Linked DNA regions of Sus scrofa. The protein of the gene in region 3 interacts with the protein of the main gene of each other region in a pairwise test. Links are inferred from orthologs where the notes say so. Each region holds a gene or a part of one and is shown on either strand. Other genes may lie near its edges.

Region 1 (7,097 bases), about 33 Mb from region 3:
GTTAGAGCTAGGAGGGAAGGGTAGGACAAAGTCCAGCCTTGTGCTCCCTGGCAAACATGTTTATCTGATTCTGGGGCTGGGCTGCCCCACGGCCTCCCTGCTCCCTCCCCCCAACACAGTCATCGCCCTCCTGAGAGAGCCACCTCCCTCTGCTTCTTCTCCAGAGAGAAGCTGCCCAGCCTTCCTTCACCAGGGCCTCTCCTGGCTCAGACTAAAGATTTACTACCTGTCCCAGTCCATCTGACCCCATGTGTCTATGTCTATCTTTATTTCTCTCACTCTCTCCTTCTGTCTCTGCCTCTCTATTTTCTGCTCTTTCTCCTACCCACCCCCCAACACACAGACATACACACGACAGACAGACAGACAGACATGGGCACACACACACAGAGTCTCGAAGAACCTGGCTTTTTTTCAGGACAGTTTCCCCAACTCAGAGCTAAGAGGCCAGGTCTCCAGGCATCTCATGCTTTCACTCTAATAGATTGAGAGTGAAACTAATCTGGGTTCGGATCCCGCCACTGCGACCTCGAACCTGGTGCGTGCACCCCCCAACTCCTCCCCTGTAACGTGGCCATAAATCCATGCCTGCCCGCCAGTGCTGTTGGGAGCACTGAATGCGTTTCTAATAGGAGTGAAACGCTGAGGCTAGCGCCTGGCACAGAATATGTGCTCAGTAAGTGGAAAAGTAAGGTTATCACTCTCATCAGCCATGTGGTCCTGAACCCCTGGTCCCCCCAGCAGAGAGAAGAGGGCCCAGGAGAGGGGAAGATCTGTCCACATCTCCTTCCTCCCCTGTTCTGGGGTCAATCAGAGGTTCAAGTCTTGGGGCCTTTTGCTCACTAGCCCACGGGGTTTCAGTGGGTCCAAAGCTGCGGAGCTGAGAGACCAGCCCAAAGGGCCACTCCTCTGGAGGGGGCCCAAGTTCTCAGGGTGAATTTCAGGTCAGCCACTCAATCTCCGGGTGGCCCTGGGAAGTTGCTTAACTTCTGTGTGCCTCAGTTTCCTCAACTCTGATATGGGGCTAATAACATTTCCTAGGTTGTCAGGAGGAGAAAGGAGTTTATGCCTTTGTAAGCCCTGTGTAAGCCCCAGAGCACTGCATGGAAGTGAGGTGATTGTCATGTTCCCAGCAAGACTGACAGGGTAAAGAGGGAGATGAAAGTATCAAAGACCAGCACGCAACCTCAGGGACCTAGGTCCAAGTCCTGGCCTTACTGCTTTGCAGAAGTTATCTTGGGCAGGTCTCTCTGAGCCTCACTTAGCTCATCTGTAAAATGGGATCACCGGCCACAGCAACCATTTGCTGCTCTTAGGTGTTATAACCCCATACATAAGCGTTATCATCAGCGCCACCTTGCAGAGAACACTGGGGTTCAGAAAAATGAAATCATCTGCCTGAGCTAGAATGGGCAGAGCTAAGGTTTGAGCCCAGGCAGGCTGGCCTCATCAGGGGTGTCAGATTGTCCCCCCTTGGCCACTGTCTTCCTGGGTCTCAATGCCTTGTCACTGCGCAATAGAGAGTGTCAGAGACCTTCAAGATTAGGGTTTGAGCTACTCAAGGACTGGAGGCCCTGGGTACAGGTTCCTCCCTTGGCCATAGCAGCAGATGTCCCCAGAGCCTCAGGGAAACCTAGTCATGCATTCATTCATGCCCCATGTCAGCCACAGGGCTGGATATCAGATGTATGATTGGTGAACAGGGCTCTGAAAGAGCTTCTGTTGTCATGGCAGGAGATGAAAAACAAAGAAGATAAATAATGATCTTTTTATTTATTTTATCATTTAAACTTATCCTAAATAATGATTAAGTTTCAGGAGAAAGTCAATGAAAGCGGTGGAGGAGGGAGTGACTGGGGGGGACTTAATTTCAGAAGGGTGGTCAGGGAGGGCCTCCCTGAGGAGGTGCTATTTGAGCAGAAAGAGAAGAAGGAGTTGGCCCTGAGAAGAGCTGGAAAGAGGGCTCCAGGCAGAAGGCACAGCATGTGCAAAGGCCCTGAGGTGGGGATCAGCAAAGTCAGTGTAGTGTAACTGGAGGGAAGGGAGGGAGAGAGGGAGAGAGGTCCCTTAGGAAGAGGGCAGGGAACCAGGGCAGGGAGTTGGAATTTTACTCATTGTCCAGGAAGGGAAATGGAGGCAGAAGGAGAAGAAGAGACTTGCCCAAGGTCACACTTAGTCACACTTGGCTTCCAGGGGAAGTTCTGCCTCTTCACCATCCTTTCCAGCCTCAACCTCTCTCTCTGCCCAGGTCTTCATGGGGGGTTGCCCACCCTTCTCCAGCCTATGCCCTGAGGCTTGAGGCCCCACTTTCCCCCCTCAGGGCGTTTTCAGGTCCCTTTTGTTACCTGAACAATAAGTAACCCAGGTAGTTAGTTATAAACTCCACAGGAACAAGGAGCTGGTTGATAATTTATAGCAACATCTCAAATTTAAATGGAAAGTAAATAGCATGCTGTTAGCATTAAAGAAAACCCGATGGGGTGGGAGGGAAGCACTCCAGCCTCCTCACAGCTTGGGGCACCTCGCTCTCTCCCCAGCCCCTTCTCCCAGCTGCCTGTGAGCCCCTCTCCCCTCCTGGCTCTTCGCTCCATGCTGCTTCTCCAGGTCTCTCTCTCCATCTCTTCCTCCAGGTGTCCCCTCTCCCTCAGCTTCCAGGTCTCTGCTGGTCCCCAGGGAGCACTTTGACCCCTGCTCCCCACTCAGGACCTGTGGATCAAGACTTCCCCCCACCCACCGTCTCACCAAAGGGGCTGCTGACCAAGAGGCCCCACCCAGCCAGGTAAGGCCTTTGGCACCCCCTGCCCCCACTCCCCACCGAAAGCCCCTCATCCCATCTGGGGCCCTGAGCAGGTCTGGCCCAGCTCCACCCTGGGTCGGCTGATGCCTGACTTTTTGCCCCTCCCCTGCAGCCGACAGGGCCCTTTGCCCTCGTCTTCCTGCCAAGTCAGGGGGCCCTGGCTGCTCCCCTGCCCCCTGCCCGGGCCTACACAAGGCCTGGCAGACCCAGAGGGCCCCTTGAGGTGGGGATCCAGCCCTCCCCCACCCCAAGCTGGGATCAGGACCTTGGACAGAAAAGAGATGGCCCCTGGGACTCTTTCTCAGACCCCTCAGCCACCCCCTCAGCTGGCCCCTTGCCCCCCGGCACAGCCATTGAGGGCATCAAAGAGGGTGGGGTGGAGTCTGAGGTGGGTGGCCTTAGTCAAGCTACTTCCCCGCTCTGAGCCTCAGTTCCCCTGGTCTGTGAAGCAGTGATCCCTGGCTTCCTCCGGAGTTCATCTCAACACTGCCTGAAATTACACATGAGAAACCTCCACAGGGCTTCTGCCCAGCCCTTGGGGTGGAGGTTACAGAGCCTTAGAGGAGGGGCCGTCCCTGCAGCCCCCAGGCCCCCCTTCCCTCACCTCTAGCCTCCCCATCCCCCACCCCTGCTGGGTGGGAAGTCGGTTGGCTCAGGCTGCCCCAGGCCACCAGCCCTACAAGTTAATGATCACAGGCCTTATCAGAGCCTTTTGCCATTTATAAATTTATAAAACAAAAGAGAAATAATAAAGCCTGTGGGTAATTAGTAACCAGGTCAGCTCTGCTGAGGAGAGGGGAGGCATTGGGCTCAGACCCACTGAGATCTCTGGGAGCTGGGGAGCCAGCCAGGGGGTGGGCGTGCAGAGCAGGGAGGCCCCTGGTGAGGTAGGGGCCTGAGGCTGTGCTGGAAAGGGGAGCACTTCCCGCCCTGAAGAATCTGTTTCCCTCAGGTAAGAAAGACCCCAGCTCTCCTGGCTGAATGCTTGAGTTCTGGGGAGGCCAGGGGAGCCCCCAAAAACCCTATCCTGGGCTCCCCCTCCCCAGTGCTGCGTCCTGGTGCCTAGCAGGGGAGTTAGGGTTTGGGGAATAGAAATGGTCATGATGGCTAAAAATAACCCCTCTCCCCACATTTGTCCGGGCCCTTGAATCATGGACTCTCCTGCTCTGTCCCTGTCTCAGAGCTCCCCTGCAGCATGATCCGGGCGGAACGCCTTAGCTCATGGGGACTCAGGACCCTGCCGAGAGCAGGGAAGGGGACGGAAGCCTCCAACCTCCAAGCCAGGATCCCCACCCCACCCCCTTCCAAGCTCTCGTGGGCCCTGTCCCCCTTCCCAACAATCATGCTAAAAGCCACCACTCACGGGACTCTAGACTGGGAAGGGCTGGTCAGGAGCTGAGGGTAGACCCACTGGGCTCCTTGGGAGCTGGGACAGGGCAGGGGTCCTTACTGCAGAAGGGTCTCCACCACAGCTTTCTGGTGCGCCGCCTCCTCTGGGCTGAGGTTCTCCAGCTCTTTGAGGATGGGTGGTGTGAAGTCTTCCCCATCGTCGTCCGTCTCGTCCTCGGAGCCCCTCGTCTCCCCCAGCCCATTGGGCAGCTCCGCAAGTTCTCCTCGTGCACCACCGCAGGACTCCCCCTTGTCCAGGGCACCATCTCCGGCCAGAAGGTAGGGCCCTGGCTCACCCAACGCCTGGATCAGCGCCTCTTTGCTCAGGCCCGACTCGAGCAGGGCCGCCAGGAGCTCCGTCTGGAGCTGGCTCAGCTTGGAGACCATGGCTCCACTAGCGCTGGGCCACGCGGCCCCAGGACTGCGAGCCGCCGCCTCCCCCACCGCGTGGGCTGGCCGGCCAGCAGGCAGGCCCCAACCAGGCTCCTTACACCTGCTGCCCCCCAAAACCCCACTAGCCAAGCCCTGTGGGCACCCCCAACCCCCAACCCTGGCCCCAGTGGCCAGTGAATCAGGGCCCCTGCCCGCTCTGTTTACATTGGAGCTGGGGAAATTCTCCAAGGTTCATATTTATCCGTGTGCTTAGCGAAGGGACTGAACTTTGGACTTCACCCTGCAAAATGCAGGCCTCATGGCAGCGCAGAGGGACAGAGAGCTGTGGCCTTCAACGGGAATGGGCAGAGCGGAGGGTGGGGGAGGTGGTGGTGGGGGGCCCGGGGCAGCTGAGACGGAAGTGTGGGGAGCCAGGGAGGCCTCTGGGTGACCAGCATCTGTCCTGCCCCCAAGGACCTCATAGGGATCAGGCTGAGGCAGGAGAGCAAAAACAGCAGGTTTCCCTTGGGAACAGAAGCAGCAGGGAGTTCTAGGCCAGTGGACCAGCCCTCCTCAAGGGCAGGCTGATCACATCCATGTGATCCCTCCCACCTTCTCCTGCCAGCCCCCGCGCCAGGCCCCCCAGGAAGAAAAATATGTTGACTTAAGTGCCATGGGCTGGGTCTGTAATGTGTGTCACTACCCCAGTGCAGGCCCCTAACAGCTGTGAGCAGGTATGGGGATTGTGCCCATTTCTCAGAGGAGGAAACGGAGGCTCTGAGAGGGTGAGCAACTTGCCCAAAGTCACACAGCCAGAAGGGACAAGAGTTAAGGAGTAGGAGTAGGGTGAGACCAGTCAAGCAGTTGGCGCAGGCGCAAATTTTAAGGGAACACCAGAAAACCCAGCAAATCAAGATAAAAAAATATTTTAAAACAATATAGTAAACATTCAAAATTAAGGCAAAACTGGAGTTCTCATCGTGGTGCAGTGGAAACGAATCTGACTAGGAACCATGAGGTTGCGGGTTCGATCTCTGGCCTTGCTCAGTGGGTTAAGGATCCGGCGTTGCCGTGAGCTGTGGTGTAGATCGCAGACATGGCTCGGATCTGGCGTTGCTGTGGCTGTGGCACAGGCTGGCAGCAACAGCTCCGATTAGACCCCTAGCCTGGGAACCTCCATGTGCTGCGAGTGTGGCCCCCAAAAGCCAAAAACAACAACAAAATTAAGGTAAAACCCAAGGATTCAAAAGTCCACACTAAAACTTACACATGAATGTTCACAACAGTGTTATTCAAAATAGCCAAAAGATGGAGAAAACATAACTATCCATCAGCTAATGAATAGATAGAAGAAATGTGGTCTATCTGTGCAGTGGCATATTATTTCACCATTGAAAAGGATTGAAGTCCTAGAGTTCCCTTGTGGCACAGTGGGTTAAGTATCTAGTGTTGTCACTGCAGCAGCTTGGGTTGCTGTTGTGATGAAGGTTTGATCCCTGGAAAGAAAGAAAGAAAGAAAGAAAGGAAGAAAGGAAGAAAGGAAGGAAGGAAGGAAGGAAGGAAGGAAGGAAGAATTAAAGTCCTGATTCATGCAATGATAGGGGTGAATCTAGAAAACATGCTAAGTAAAAAAGTCCAGACACAAAAGATGTGTATGATTCCATTTATAGGAAATGTCCAGAATAGGCATATCCATACAGACAGAAAGTAAATTAGTGATTGCCAGGGGCTGAGGTCAGCAGACAGGGAATTCTGCTTAATGGGTGCGGGGTTTCTTTGGGGGTGATGGAAGTGTTCTGATATCGATTGGGTGATGTTACACAACTTTGAATATACTAAAAACCAGTGAACCTTGCACTTTATTTTTATTTTTATTTTTTTTATTTTCATTTTTGGCTGCCCCTCAGCATATGGAGTGTCCAAGCCAGGGATCAGATCCCAGAGCCGCAGTCACAGCCTAAGCGGGAACTCCTAACCATGCACTTTCAAATGGCAAATTTTATGATATACAAATCAATAAATTGTATGTTTTCATTAATGCAAAAAATCTGTGATGAACAAAAGAAGCATCACAGTTTTTTAAGTAAAGGTAAGTTACAACATCCACTCACCTCCCACTGATCCCAGCCCTGGCCAGAAACTCAATCACACACCCCCACCCACCTCTTCCCTCCTCAGGTTGGAGCCTGGACACAAATTCCTGCCGTCTCTCCCCTGAGGTGGCCCTAAGCTCTCAGAACCAGGGGTGCAGGCCATTGCCTGGAGTAGACAGGGTGGTGCTGAGGGGCTGCCCCCCCACCCCCGGCAGGGTCGTCTCTCAGGGGTCATGCATGGCCAGAAACCCCGCCCTGCAGGCCAGGCCAGCGAAGGGAAAGAGGGCTGATCAAGTCTTCATTTTTGCACCCACCTAACAAGCTCGGCAATTATGAGGCCTGTGAAGCCACTGAGGACTTGAAATGTGGCTTATGCCTCTGGCTGAAATGATAATATTTTGAATCTATTGGGTGAAAAAAAAAATGTTTTAAACATGGGGCCACAC
Region 2 (7,255 bases), on a different chromosome or scaffold from region 3:
CCCAAATAAGACCAAATGGGGGAGGAATAATTTCAATTTCTGAATAAGACTGTAACACTTCCAAATGCCCTGTGTTCCTGGATTCTTACATTTCTCCGCTGCTAGGGTAAAAGTATCTACAAGTTCATCTTTCTCACAGATTTCAAGCTTGGGATAAGAACTTAACACTTTTCATTTCTCATAAACACAGGTAATGCACAAAGCTTCTTTAGAACAATGTACTAGTGCCTTTGAATTTATTCCAAATATTTTCAACACTGCCAGTATCTCTTCTTGGTTATTGAATAGGTGGCTTAAAAGTTAAGAGATAAAATTGAAAACAAAAACTAAGAAAACTGAGCCCAGTACAGAACAAAAGTTTTCAAGAGGCAATAATCCGCATATACTATTTGTTTAATGCAGCTGTGTATTTAACTTAAAACCCCCAGCATTCCTTTAATGTATGTTGATGTATAAAACAGTCTGATAGAACATGAAAAAAATGAGAAAAATTGCTTTCAGAGGTAACAATAAAAAATGCTATAAAGCAGAAGCCAAAACAGATACAGGGTTGCATATGAAATAACTGATTTATTTTTAAACGATGTCTATATGACAAAGAAATAATTTTGTTTAATGAATTTTTAAAAATCTAGCAATTAAACTGAGGTTTTTGTAAGCATTTGAAAAGTCATGATCATTCTAGCAAGTCTGATATTAAATTCATGAAAACAGGCTTTGACAGAGATGTTTTTGAGAAATGCAAACTTTTAAGTTTAATTTTATATAGCTTAGCATATTTCTCAAGTATTTCTAAAGGTACTTCCAAGTAATACAACAAAATAAAGTAACAACAGGAACAAAAAATGAGGAATTGTGTCCCGGTTTCAAACATGGAAAATTCACCTTGAGTAAGAGGAAACTAATGTAACATTTTGAACATACTCGTGTAAATATCAGCATTCATTTAAAACCTTATTTCTGGTGAATATGTCCACAGATATTTTTAGGTAGAAAAACACTTTCAACGGATGTGAACGATAGCTCCGAAAGTTAACAAAAGGATTTGGATTTTAAAAGTTCATGCTACTTTGACAGATTGAGTTTTCTGGTTTTGTTTAAATTTCTTTGCTTGTGTTCATTTGGTGCGTCTAAGAAGCCTAACAAAATAGTGTATCTAACAGTGAAGGATTCCGTAAAAAAAAGAGTGAATTAGCTTAACCACTGGGAAGGTTAAAAAAAAAAAAAAAAAAAAAAAAGCCCAGGAAAACCCTATAAACAACATCAAATATTTCAGTCCGCATTAAGGGACTAGAGTTGGGGGTAAGATGGCGTAGTTACACCTTTACAGCTCTGATCACAGAATTCTCACGGATTCAAGAGCCCGGAGGTAGTTCGTTTTTTAAATTTGAAAATACAGCCGGCGATTACAGGTCCTCAACCCTGATAAACAGATCGGGAGAAGCGCGAGCCGGTATTGTGCTGCCGGAGCAGGTGTCAAGCGCCGGACCCCGGCGTCCGGCCGGCCCAGGACGCTCCTTCCCAAACAATGCCTCGGCCGCCCACGAACAGAGAAGCCCTGTACCCGGCTCAGATCGCCACGCTTCTTAAGAAACCTCAGCTGGCTTCTCGGGGGAGCAACCGACTTTCCAAAAGCCGCCACCGAACGCTAGCTTAGGGCCAGGGCCGCGACGGGCACCACATTACCCGCGACCTTCCTTTCTCGCTTTCTCTTCTAGGAGATGGAAAGAGCGGCTGGGCGCTCCCCAAAGTGACTTGCCCCGTGTTTTCTTTCCACCTTAGGGGAGCAGGGTGGGCCAAAAAAGGGTGTGCGTGCATCTGGACCTTGGAAGCCGACTGTGCGTTGACCCAGGGGACCGCCAGCGATTTCTTGAAAAATTACTTTAATCAAGTCGCCCACTCCCGAAGGTGCGGAAGGGAAGGCAGCACCCGCTGGGGAAAGGGGTCTGTCCTGAAATTCCCCCCAGCCGCCCCCAGCGGCGGTCCCGGGCCCCCCAGCCTCGCTCCTGCCCCCAGCAGCCGGCGTCTCTGCGCCGCGAAAAGCGCTGGGGTCCAGGACCCGGGGCTGGGCCTGGCTCTCCGCCCGCCGGGGCCTGCAGTGTCGGGCGCGGGGCTCGGCCTGGAGGGTTCCGCAACGCGGTGCTTGTGCGCCCGGAGCCGCGAGGAGCCCCGCGTCCTTCTTTCCTTCCCCCTCGAAGCCGCGTTTACAACTTCACCAATGAATAACCCGCCTCTCTGTTCAACCTAATCACGACTTTTTGTGTATCTTTCTGTTGATGATTTATAGAAATAAATTAATAACACCCTAACTCCACGTGCTGCAGTTTATATTACATCTCTGCCGCGTCCAGCCCGGCCCGGGGCTGGGTGGCGAGGGGCGCCCCAGGTCGCCTCCGGGCCTCCCAGGTCCTTCCAAAACCCCTCTGGGAAGCGGGCGCCTGCGGCCTGGCGATGGGCCTAGGCCCCAGGGGCCTGGGTGGCGGGCGGCGAGAGGTCGGCGGGGCTGCGGGGCCTCGGTCACCCTCCCCGCCCCTCTGGTGCCCCAGCCGCCCCTCTTCTGACCCCTCTCACCTTCCTGCACCCTAATCCGGCACAGGAGAAACCGCCGCTACGGGGGGAAACCGCGAGGGAGGAACCTCAAACCTACGAACGGCAGCAAAATACTTTTGGGAAATTAGAAAAAAAATCTAGAAATTCCCCTGACTGTTTTTGCTGAAGAGTAAGCTGCCAGGTCCCCAGGTAGCAAATTCAAATGCAAGGTCATATCCCATCCCAAACTGCCACTACCGGCGAGCGACTGAGGCTGCCCGGGCACGACTTTGCTGCTGGCCCTGCCTTGAGACCGCGGCGCTGAAGCGTCTGAGGCCAAGCGAGGGACTCGGTCCTCAAGCGGAGGGGCCGGGAGGGATGTGCGGTCTTAGGGAATCGCTCGGCTCCTTGGATAATTAGTAACCAGCTGTCAAAGGCCTAGGCCGGTCGGGAAGGCTTAGCAAACGTCCCGCGACCAGGAGATAGACCACCGGCCAGCCTGCCTGGATTCCCCGGGGACGCCGGGGTGTCGGCGGCGAGATCCGGATACGCCCTCTTTTCTCCGACCAAATCCGCTGCGAACTGGGGTCTTAGCCGCATTTACCCCTCTCTCTGCTTTGAAACGTGGTTTCTTTTGCCCCTTGCAGGTCCACTCTGACCCCGCAACGTGCACACACATTTCCTTTCGCAAATCTAAACCGGCTTTGGGGATTCCGGGTAATCCTGGGGCCTGACTCGGGCGCTGCAGATGGGAGTGCCTGCCAGAGAACTCGCCCCCCAGGACCCCGGCCTGTGTGCCCCCTGGCCCTCTGCAAAGAGTGGCAGGACGCTGTGCCTGAAGCCAGCCTCTGTCTTCCCGGACCACACAAGAGGCACCAAGGAGAAATGCTTGGCCTGGGGCTGAGGCGGGCCCTGAGAATCGCTGCGATTTCACTGCACCTACTCGCACCTTCAGCGGCATGGGCAAACCTCCGGGCAAAGGGCTCCACAGCTCGGGTTCTCCCAGGCCGAGCCCCAGCCCGCCCGGGAGGCCCCGCCGGTCCCGGGCACTGGCCTGGGCAGGGGATCATGAAGCCTCGGGGCTCGGGTCGTCCGGTTGAAGGACTGGGAGGGGTCCAGGTGTTGCGAGAGAAGCGGAGCGCCCCCCGGGGGACTTCTCTGGTGGGAAACAGGCTTGGCAAGAGTGGTCGGGCGCAGTGTCGTTCAGGCACAAGGCCCAGGGCTCAAGGGACTCGGGCGCACACTCCGCACCTGGGTCCGCGCCTACCTGAGCATCCGGTCCACCTCCGCCCGCTGCTCCGCCGCCTCCTCGGTGTTGAGCGCTTGCAGCTCCTTGAGGATCGGAGGGGTGTCATAGTCGTCCCCGTCCTCGGAGCCCTCGTCCCCGGACAAGCGGCCCTTGGCGTGGCCGTTGGTGAGAGTGTGGAAGACCGGCTTGGTGTCCGGCTCAGTCCCGCTCCCAGGGGACAGGGGCAGCGTCTCCAGCTTCACCCCGAAACTCGGGGATGGCAGCAACTCCTCCAAGGCCTGGACCAGCACCTCCTTGGTGACCCCGGAGCTCAGCAGGGCGCTCAGGAGTTCTTGTTGGAGCGACGTGAGCTTGGACACCATTTTCCAAGGACAGAAAAAGAAGGGGGTGAGGGGGTGGGTGGGTGGGTGCCGGTGAGGAGGGTGGAGGGGAGTTTCACAGGCGAACCCCAAGTCCAGGAACCCCCTCCACCCTTTAGCCTCCAGACACCTGTTACTCCCCGGGGTCCCGGAGTCTCCTCCGAGAGGAGTCAGAAAACTTCTAACTTGCCATGATCGCCACCATTAGGCCATATAAGATATGCAAATTAGTGGGGAGGGCCTGGCTTTCGGCAAGATGCAAATGGCGTGGGGAGGGGGGAAAACCGAATGAGGGAGAACCCGAGAGGCAGACCTGGAGAGCTGGAGACCCGGCCGGGAGCGGGGCTGCCAGGGTCCATTGTACTCACCCCGGGGGGCTGAAGGCCTTCTTGCACCGGTTGTGTTTAGCAGCCAGACTTTAGCTGAACTTTGGACTTGTTAAACAAGTCGTTTGCAGCCTAGTGTGGAAGGCTCCGGGACTTTTCCACCAAGCTGCGAGTCCGCCTTTAGTCCGCAGAGAAGAAACTGTGCTTCGGGGTTCAGGTGAGAGCTAGAGGAAGTTGGGGTGCTCTTGGAAGAAGGAGATGGAGGAGAATGCGGAGAGCAGAGATCCTCCGAGCCTCCCCGAGCGACGCAGGCCGTGGGCCGGGAAAGTCAACCGCGCGCGGAGGAGAAACTGACCGCAGGGGGACGGACGCGGAGACCCGGGGGAAGGGGGGCGTGTTAGGTTGTGGATCGCAGGGGCTCCACGTAAGCTCTACCTGAGTTACCGCTCTGCGGACCCCAGGCTCTCACCAGCCGGGTCTGGCTGTTTAGATTTGCAGAACTGCTGGCCCCGGAGCAAGCGGGGAGGAGGCACCGACTAATTTATGGCCAGAGGGAGTAGCCAAAATTGAGCTCCCCGAGCCCCGGGCTGCACCGCACCCAGCCTAGCCAAGCCGCCGGGGAGCTGGACGCCTGAGCCACTGGGCCCTCTGGCTTACACCCAGAATATCCAAGCACCTCGGCTTTGGCGGCAAAACTAGTATCGCAGGGCCTCCTTTCTGGCAGTGAAAGCAAAGCTCGGCCTGCAGTTAGATGGATAGTTGGAGCCGCCTGTCCTCCGGGCCTACTGATTTCTGCTTTTTTTCTGCAGATCCAGGACACAGCGGTTCCTGGGGTCAGGGATGGCGCTCTGCAGACTCGAGGTCACAGCAGCCGGCAGCCGTCTTCCATGCCAAGTTGGGAAGGTGCCCACAAAACCACTGAGGGAAAGGAGGTTTTTTTCCACTCCTGCCTGGCCCAGGAAGGAAGCTGAGAACCTTTCAACGCTATCGGAGTTTCACCTGCACCGCCCTGAGGCGTCAGGGTGAAAGAAGGATGCGGGAGGCACACCCAGACCCTCCAGGCTGGCCCAGATCTGCAGAAGAAGAGGGGAAGGGGCTTTTTAGCATGGGTCGCTCACAGGCCTATAGTTCCTAGGGCAGAGGACACTCCCTTACCGGCCCCCTCTCCCACCACGCCTGAGGTTCATCATCTGTGAAATACTGATACTCAAGTGGGGGGGGGGGGTCCTGGGTGTCGTATACCTTGAATGAGAACACCTGTGAGACCCTGTCGTCTGGTGATGGTGTTCAAACTTTTCCTTCTGGGAAGGCAGGAAGCCTGTTCCCGGTAGTAAAAAGCTAGCCCCTCTGGAGGCTTAGGGTTCTCAGAATCAGGCAGCTCCAGTGCTGGGGTTGGCGACCAGGAGATTAAAGACAACCTTTCAGAAAGAACAGGGAATTTGTGAAGGAGCTTCCAAGCAAATTCACCTTCCTTTCCCACCTTTAAAAGACGATTAGGAGGAAGAGGGGAATTTCAGCATGGGTGGGGGTGGGGGTGGGGAGGGCCAGCAGCTCAGGATCAAATCCCTTTGCTGGCTGAGGGCTGAACCTCCAGAGGTGGCTGATCCAAGTCAGGCTGCTGAGCATCGAGGCTGCCTCTTACATCCAGGGTTTTCAACACACGCTGGGCCACCCACGAAAAACGGGTGGTTGTGTGCTTGGAGCTCTGGGGGAGGTTTACACCATCTCAGTGTCTTTCCTGGGAAAGGGGTCAAAATGACGATGGCCCTTCTTTTGACCTTATTGTCTTCTAGTTTATTGTGACATATGGCAGTCCCTTGCCCTCACCATTCGGCCCAATGAGAGAACATTTTCTGCCCACCTAGCTCCCCTCAACTGGGATAATGAAGTGTTCGGAGTAAATGTCCCCGGAGAACAAACTCTTTGTCTCTCATTTGCTATCATGATAGAAGCAGTCAAGTGTCATGAAGATCGGTTTCTGTGTTTAGCTGGGAAAAACCCATTAAAAAGCCAGCCATCACTTCCCTTTTAACAACAAAGCTTTGATTTGCAGTTCCGACTACCATGTGCCGCCCAGTCGGATTCTCAAGCTTCCTTATCTCTCAAAATTCAGGTGTCAGCAAACCCGTTCTTCCCCCTACCCCCAGCCAACTCTGTGAACATACAGGAAGTTGCACAGAATACGGGGAAACTTCCTATGCGTGTCCAGGTAATCTGACCATTCACACCCACCAACTTCCTGGAACCCTCCTGCCCAGATCTACCTTGTCTGTACCTTCTGATCAATATGGGTCGCCAAGTAACTGCAACTATAGATCTTGAGCGGATCCAGTATCAACCCTTTCCAATGGAAATTTAAAAAGAAAAGTATAAATATCTCAACAGACAGACCTTCAGGATGTGGGTCACAAACGCGAACCAAACGGGTTCTAAAACCCTTTGGTTAAGCTTTCCCCAAATTGAGGAAGCCAGAGTATAGCTGGAATACTCTTGTTTTTGCTTCCCACGGGATCTAGTAGTGATGGGCTGCTATGATGGCCCCATTTTAGTATTAAATATTTTTACATTAAAGTATAGCTGATTTACAGTGTTAGGCCATTTCTGGCTGTATAGCAAAGTGACTCAGTTATACATATATATACATTCTTTTTTATATCTTTCCCATCATGATCTATCCCAGGAAGAGCCCCTTAAAGATGGAGAAATAAGATACAGGGCATTTTGAGGAAGTGGCTTGGAGTTACTGTAATAAGTTAATGGAAGGGCTGAGATTGGGGCTCCAGACTTTTGAG
Region 3 (7,113 bases):
GGATTGTTTCTAAAAGACAGTGAAAGACAATCATCATATGATATCACTTATATGTGCAATCTTTTTTTTTTTTTTTTGTCTTTTGTCTTTTTTCTAGGGCCACACTTGCAGCATATGGAGGTTCCCAGGCTAGGGGTCAAATCAGAGCTATAGCTGCCAGCCTACACCAGAGCCATAGCCACGCCAGATCCGAGCCACGTCTGCGACCTACACCACAGCTCATGGCAACGCTGGATCCTTAACCCACTGAGCGAGGCCAGGGATCGAACCTGCAACCTCATGGTTCCTAGTTGGATTCGTTTCCACTGCGCCATGACAGGAACTCCAATATGTGGAATCTTAAAAAAGGATACAAATGGGAGTTCCTGTCATGGCTCAATGGTTAACGAACCCGATTAGGATCCATGAGGATGTGGGTTTGATCCCTGGCCTCACTCAGTGGGTTAAGGATCCAGCATTGCCATGAGTTGTGGTGTAGGTCGCAGATATGGCTTGGATCTGGCATGGCTGTGGCGTAGGCCAGTGGCTACAGCTCTGATTTGACCTGTAGCCTGGAAACCTCCATATGCTGCAGGTATTGTCCTAAAAAGCAAAAAAAAAAAAAAAAAAAAAAAAGTCCATTGACAGAGGAGTGGATCAAGAAGATGTGGTACATATATACACAATGGAATATTACTCAGCCATTAAAAAGAATGAAATACCAGCATTTTTTGCAACATGGATGGACCTAGAAACTATCATGCTAAGTGAAGTCAGCCATACAATGAGACACCAACATCAAATGCTTTCACTGACATGTGGAATCTGAAAAAAGGACAGACTGAACTTCTTTACAGAACAGATGCTGACTCACATTGAAAAACTTATGGTCTCCGGAGGAGACAGTTTGGGGGGTGGGGGGATGTGCCTGGGCTGTGGGATGGAAATCCTGTGAAATCAGATTGTTATGATCAATATACAACTACAGATGTGATAAATTCACTTGAGTAATTAAAAAAATGGAAAAAAGGTTTACAAATGAACTTCTTTGCAGAACAGAAATAGACTCTCAGACTTTCAAAACCTTGCAGTTACCAAAGGGGATGGGGTGGGGGGGAGGGAGGATGGCCTGGGCGTTGGGGATTGGCATATGCACACTGAGGCATACGGAATGACTGACCAGCAGGGACCTGCTGTGCAGCACAGAGAACTCTACCCAATACTTGGTGATAATCTATGTGGGGAAAGAAACGGAACGAGAATGGCTGTGCGTACACGTAGAACTGAATCACGTTGCTGTACAGCAGAAATGATCACAACCTTGTACATCAACTATACTTCAACACAACGTAAAACAAAAGTTCCAGGTGTGGAGAGCCCAAGACCCGTCTCCCCACCCTCTGCTTCCCGAGCATGACGCTTTCCAAATAAACTGGAAACTGGATTGGTGTAGCGTCTGAGAGTCACGACTAACAGGACTTTCGGGGAGGGAACACGTCCAGAGTGTGACCCCCATCCGCTCAGAACACTCCGTCCCACCCTGGCGCCATACCCTATTGAAGTCTTTGAAATGAAACTGCTTGAAGATGGCATCCCGGCCTTCCAGCTCGTTCCACCCCACGGCCCGCAGGTTTGGCAGCAGCTGGTCCCTCTCCTCCGCACTTAGCCTGTGCGCTTTGCCAGCCTAGGAGAGGGAAAACACACAGGCCCACGGGCATTTGTTTGAACAGGACAACAGAGAGGGCCCTGGACCTTTGGGGACATTCAGCCAGCCTCCAGTGACAGTGACGCAGTCAAAGGGCAGCTGGTCTAAAGCAACAGACTGGGAGGTGGGGCTCTGGCTCGAGCACGGATAGGTTCTTAGAGAACAGACGGTCCTGAGGTGTGATGCAAATCATTGGGCCAGAGAAACACGCCTCCTCCATCTGCCCCCGAAGCCTTACAGAGGGTGGCCCTCCATAAAAACCAAACCAAACAAAAACTAGGTCTCTATCGTTAATAGGGGAGTAAAAGCAAATCAAGACCTTACTCACTCTGTATTGAAGAGGAAACGGGCCTAGAGAGGGGAGAAGGCCACCCTTCTCCCCGCTCCCCAGCCTCCATCAGTGAAAGCACAGGCCTCGTTCTCAAGGCGGGTCTCTCCGTCTGCATGCCTGGGGCCAGGCAAAGGGACCCAGGCTTAAGACATGTTCCAGGCAATTCTTAGTCACACCAGAGTCCACGACCCCCGGCAGCACCTCCCAGTGCGTACTGCACCGTGCTCCCACGCAGCCTCTGGTTCCCAGCTTCTGGGCCTACGTTTCTCAGATTCTCACCTTCTTTTCTATTGTGTCACCTCAGGAAGCCAGAGCCACAGAGCTCAGCCCCCAAAGCAGATGTAACTTGGCCAAGGGCAAAGGGCAAGGCCAGTGCCCCAGCCTATCACCCGCTGTGCACGCTGCCCAAACTGGCGCAGTTCAGGCCGTGAGTGGAACCCTCAGAGAACAGAAGCAAGCAAAGGTCAGTTTCCACCTCTAAGAAGATCCAGGTGGAGGCGCTTAAGGGATCCCAGTATTGAGGCCCCTAAAGTAGAACTACCTGAGGGTGGAAAGTGTAAGTGCTAAATGAGAAGTGAGTCAGTAAGGCCTGGGGAGAGCACTTGAGGAAGGTTAATCTGGCTTTTATGAGGCGGTCCTGGAAGACTGGAAGCCAGGTGGGCTTGAGGCGGTCATCTCCCCTGGCTCAACAGCTGAAAAAGGGCACAAGAACTGCCACTTCAGTGATCAGCAAGAGAAGCCAAGGGGCACTTTAGGACACTCCACTGTTACTAAAGGAATGACATCTCCCTTTTGTTTTTGTCTTTTTAGGGCCGCACCCACGGCATATGGAGGTTCCCAGGCTAGGGGTCTAATCAGAGCTGTAGCTGCTGGCCTACACCACAGCCACACAACACAGGATCGGAGCCGTGTCTGTGACCTACACTACAGCTCTTGGCAATGCCCGATCTTAACCCACTGAGCAAGGCCAGGGATCAAACCTGAGTCCTCATGGTTGCTAGTTAGATTTGTTTCTGCTGTGCCATGACAGGAACTCCCGATGTCATCTGCCTTTTTAAAAGGAGACTTCCTGGGGGCAAGTAGGCTTGTGACAGGCCTTTAGGTTTGGGGTAGAACTGGGCTCTTATAACTCAACCTGTTCTCCCTCCTGAAAGCGCACATTCCCTCTGGACAACCCCGGCTTGGTCTGTCTCCTCTCCTGGGCTCCAGAAGGCCAGCGAGGGCAGTGGAGTCCTGCATCACCGCCCAAACCCGTCTCTGTTCCAGAGCCGGCCCTGTCTCAGTGGCTGATAAACCTGGTCCGTGTTTCCAGCCTCTAGTTCTCTGGCTCTGAAAGGAGGACATGTGCACTAGAGGAGCTCCTAGGAGGCTCCCCTTCCTCTTTAGAATCTTCGGGAACCCCCCCCCCACATTTCACAGCCTGGGGCTGAACTGAGGAGCCCCTCTGAGATCTGGGATCAGAGAGGGGGCAGGGGTGTGTTTGCTTAGTAAGTCACAGGTCAGCCCTGGCCTCAGCCTGGGCCCAGGGAGGCTGTGGGTGTTACTGATTACCTGCAGCCTACAGTTTTGGGGCCTCAGTGCACCTCACAATGGGCTCACTCACCACCTCCCCTCCACCCAAGTCATAGCCTTCAAAATGCCCTCCCAGGCCTCATCACAGCCCTAGTCGCTCCTAAGGCTTTGGGGCCTAATGCTTTGACTGCTTAGTAAAGCTTCCTGCTGTGCAGGCTGGCCTATCCTCCCAGGCCACATCTGAGCACAGGGCCTAAGGCTCCCCTCAGGGAAAGCTCAGGGCAGACGGTGGATGACTCTGAGCAATCATGTCACCCGTGGCTGGGCACAGGCCTCAAACTAGGTGCCCCCCCGGGGGGGCTGGCTCTCAGGTTGGGGGCAGCACACAGGGCTGAGCAGAAGTGCAAGAGAGAAGGGCAGTAAACAGGCAGGCAGAGGCACATGCAAATTCAGTCGCCCCGCCCCCTTTGCACACTCACAAGGCTTCCCCCCACCCCCGACCACCCGGTCCCTACCCTAGCCCCCAGTGTAGAACAGAATCATGCCACCAAGGAGGGCTACGTCTGCAGGCTCACTACGTCCCCTCCCCGCTGCCCGTCTCACTGCCCCACCCCCACCGGGAGAGCTCTCTAAGCAGGGCCTGCGCGGCCTTGAGGCCTCAGGCACAGATGGCCAGGGAGCCGGGGAAAGCCTGGGCTCCCGCCTCGCCGTCACCCAGACCTGCCACCGCCCCGCTTCCGACCTCAGCTTTCCCCCAGGGGACCACTGGCGGGGTGGGGTACCGGCGGGACAGAGACCCCGATTCCCCCAGGCCGGCGCGGCTGCTGTGCAAGGAGCTGGGAGGGACCGCCCCCCCGCTCCTGGCCGGGTCCCCTGGGCCGGCCTCGGCGGGCCCCTTCCTCTCCGCCGCACCCCCCTCCTAACCCGGCCGCCCCTCACCATGCCGGGCGGCGCAGACGCGGGCGATCAGCAGGTGGTAGCGGAGCGGAAGAGCGCGAAGCCCGGCGCACCGGGAAGCCGTCGGGCGGGGCAGCGCTCGGGCCGCCCGGGGCGGGAGCGAGGCCGGGCAGGGGCCGCCCACCCGTAATCATTAACTCCAGCTGCGGCTCCCTTCCAGGACTTTCCTCATTGCCAAGCTTGCAGCGAGGTCAGAGGTTAAGGACGCGTGGGCTCCTAACGCAGACTTGGGTTTATGCATCGCGCACTGCCCCTTACCAGCTGTGTGACCCTCGACGCCAGATTGCTTTTTCTTTTTTAGAAAAACGTCTTACTGAGGAATAAACCCACACAATACACTGCCCGTATTTAAAGTGTACAATGTGATGCCTTTTGGCATATGTATGCATCCTTGCAACCATCACCACGATGACGAGGACATGACCACAAGCCCTAAATTGCCTCCTCCCTCCTCAGAGATCTATTGACCTGCTGCCTTTACTATAGATTAGATTGCGTTTTCTGGAAGGCTATGTAAATGGAAATCATATGGGTTACCCTCTTTTTAGATCTGCCTCCTTTCACTCAGCGTAATTACTTTGAGGTTTACCCATGTCGATGCATATATCAATAGTTTTCCCTTTGATAACTAAGTAGAAATTATTTTACAGTATTATATTGTAATGGATATACTACAATTTGTTGGACTTTGGGTTGTTTCCAGTTTTTGATTAGTACAAATAAAGCTGCTAGGAAAGTTTGCCTGCAAGTCTTTGGATATATGCTTTAATTTTTCTTGGGGAAATACCTGGGAATGGAATGGCTAGGTCATAGAACAGGTATATGCTTATAAGTTGTTAGGAAACTGCCAAACTGCTTCTCAAAGTAGCAGGACTATTTTCCACTGCCACCAGTGGCATATGACAGTGCAGCTTCACCTTCACCTAGAGGGAATACTCCTAAGCCAATCTTTTTATTATTTAGCCATTCTAATTGGTGCACAGTAGTATCTCACTGGTGGTTTTCAGTTGCCTTAATGACTAATGATATTAAATATCTTTTCATGTGCTTATTTGCCAATGGTCAGTCATTGGTGAATTGCCTGTTCAAATTTCCTGCCCATTAAAAGTAATAGTTTGTTTTCTTATTGCATTTTGAGAGTTCTTCATTCTGAATACAAGCACTTTATCAGATATGTGATTTGGCATATTTCGTTTGCATTTCCACAATGTCTCTCAAAAGGCGAATGTTCTTGATTTTGATGACACCCAATTTATCAACTCTTTCTTTTATGGATTGGTATTTTGGTGTTGTAACTAGGAATCGTTGCCTAATCCTAGGTCACAAAGATTCTTCTCCTGTGTTTTCTTCTATATTTAATAGTTTTTCGTTTTATTTTACAGAATTTAGAGTGGTCTTTTTAAGTTGGTTTTTGGGAGCTATCTAGACATTAACTGCTTGTCGGTTCAGATATTGCAAATATCTTCCCATTCAGCCATCTGTACCCTGTCATCTTCCAGGATATCCTTTGTTGGCAGAAATCTTATACTTTGGGAAATGCCACAAAATTGGGTTGTGATGATTATTGTGCAACTATAAATGTAATAAAATTCATTGAGTAATTTAAAAAAGAAATCTTATATTTTGGTGTGGTAAGATTTATATTTTTTCCCCTAGAAATTTGTGCTTTTGAAGGTTTACTTGGCAAGTCCCGCCCACCCCTGCCACAAAAATATAGTCCCTTTTCCTTCTGCTAACTTTACAGTTGGGAAAACTTAAGACGGTAGTATGAAAGGTCCCCTTTTACATGCAACTTGAAGCAGGATGTAGGCTAGCCTTCAAAGATGGCCCTTGAGTGAACCTTGACTTCCAGGATTCCTGCCTTATGGCTTCTGCTAATCATCCATCAGTCACAGGAGTGAGGCTTCCTAGCCGCCCAGACCTTCAGATGACTTCAGCCCCAGCAGACATCTGACTGCAGTCTCATGTGAGATCCCAAGTGAGAACACTGCCTGGCAGAAACAAGGCAACTCATGGAACCATGAGAAATAATAGGACATTTCAAGCCACCCAGTTTTGAGATTGTTTGTTCTGCAGCGATAGACAACAGAACAAATAAATTTCTAAATAAAAACTGGTACCTGGAAGTGGAGTATTAAGACTAACCTCAGACAGGTAGCATTAGCTTGGGAACCTTGGTGGGGAGAAGGTGGGAGAAGAGGTTTCAAAGACAGAGAGGATTTGGGCTTCAGCTCGCTAGGGTGTAGGAAGCTGGAAACTCTTACATCGACAATGAGAATAATACAAATTCATCACTTTTCTTTAGCTTGCCAGGGAGCTGAGGTCTCAGGACAGCCAAGTAGTCTGAATTCCAAGGGAGGCTGGACGCATAGGCGAGCTCACCTGTGCCAGGTGTGGGCAGGAGAGGGAGGACACACAGCCTCTATAAAAGTGGGTAAGAAGAAATCAGATAAAATTTTAACAATTTTTGCTGTTGGAAGCCAGGTGTGTGGAAGAGTTGGGGACCTGAGACACGGGGAGAGTTAGCACACAGGCACAGCTTTTAATTATGGATCTCCACTGAGAGCCAGGAGAAAGACAGGGGAAGGGCAATAGATGGAAGCAAATCCCCACCTCAGCTAAGCAGGGG

What was found.
Region 1: the proteins of PCBD1 (region 3) and HNF1A interact in binary tests that used the Homo sapiens proteins (3 or more experiments, as listed by UniProt). The link is inferred for Sus scrofa from reciprocal best matches to the Homo sapiens genes PCBD1 and HNF1A.
Region 2: the proteins of PCBD1 (region 3) and HNF1B interact in binary tests that used the Homo sapiens proteins (3 or more experiments, as listed by UniProt). The link is inferred for Sus scrofa from reciprocal best matches to the Homo sapiens genes PCBD1 and HNF1B.

The regions. Positions count from the first base shown.
Region 1 is NC_010456.5:40,866,442-40,873,538, reverse strand, and holds the start of HNF1A (hepatocyte nuclear factor 1-alpha), read right to left. Parts: upstream 4,721-7,097; 5' UTR 4,574-4,720; coding exon 4,248-4,573; intron 3,750-4,247; exon of another isoform or gene 3,251-3,749; intron 1-3,250. UniProt on the Homo sapiens protein: Transcriptional activator that regulates the tissue specific expression of multiple genes, especially in pancreatic islet cells and in liver. Binds to the inverted palindrome 5'-GTTAATNATTAAC-3'.
Region 2 is NC_010454.4:39,197,041-39,204,295, forward strand, and holds the start of HNF1B (hepatocyte nuclear factor 1-beta), read right to left. Parts: upstream 4,562-7,255; 5' UTR 4,141-4,561; coding exon 3,797-4,140; intron 1-3,796. UniProt on the Homo sapiens protein: Transcription factor that binds to the inverted palindrome 5'-GTTAATNATTAAC-3'. Binds to the FPC element in the cAMP regulatory unit of the PLAU gene. Transcriptional activity is increased by coactivator PCBD1.
Region 3 is NC_010456.5:73,802,694-73,809,806, forward strand, and holds the start of PCBD1 (pterin-4-alpha-carbinolamine dehydratase), read right to left. Parts: upstream 4,555-7,113; 5' UTR 4,470-4,554; coding exon 4,467-4,469; intron 1,664-4,466; coding exon 1,532-1,663; intron 1-1,531. UniProt on the Homo sapiens protein: Involved in tetrahydrobiopterin biosynthesis. Seems to both prevent the formation of 7-pterins and accelerate the formation of quinonoid-BH2. Coactivator for HNF1A-dependent transcription.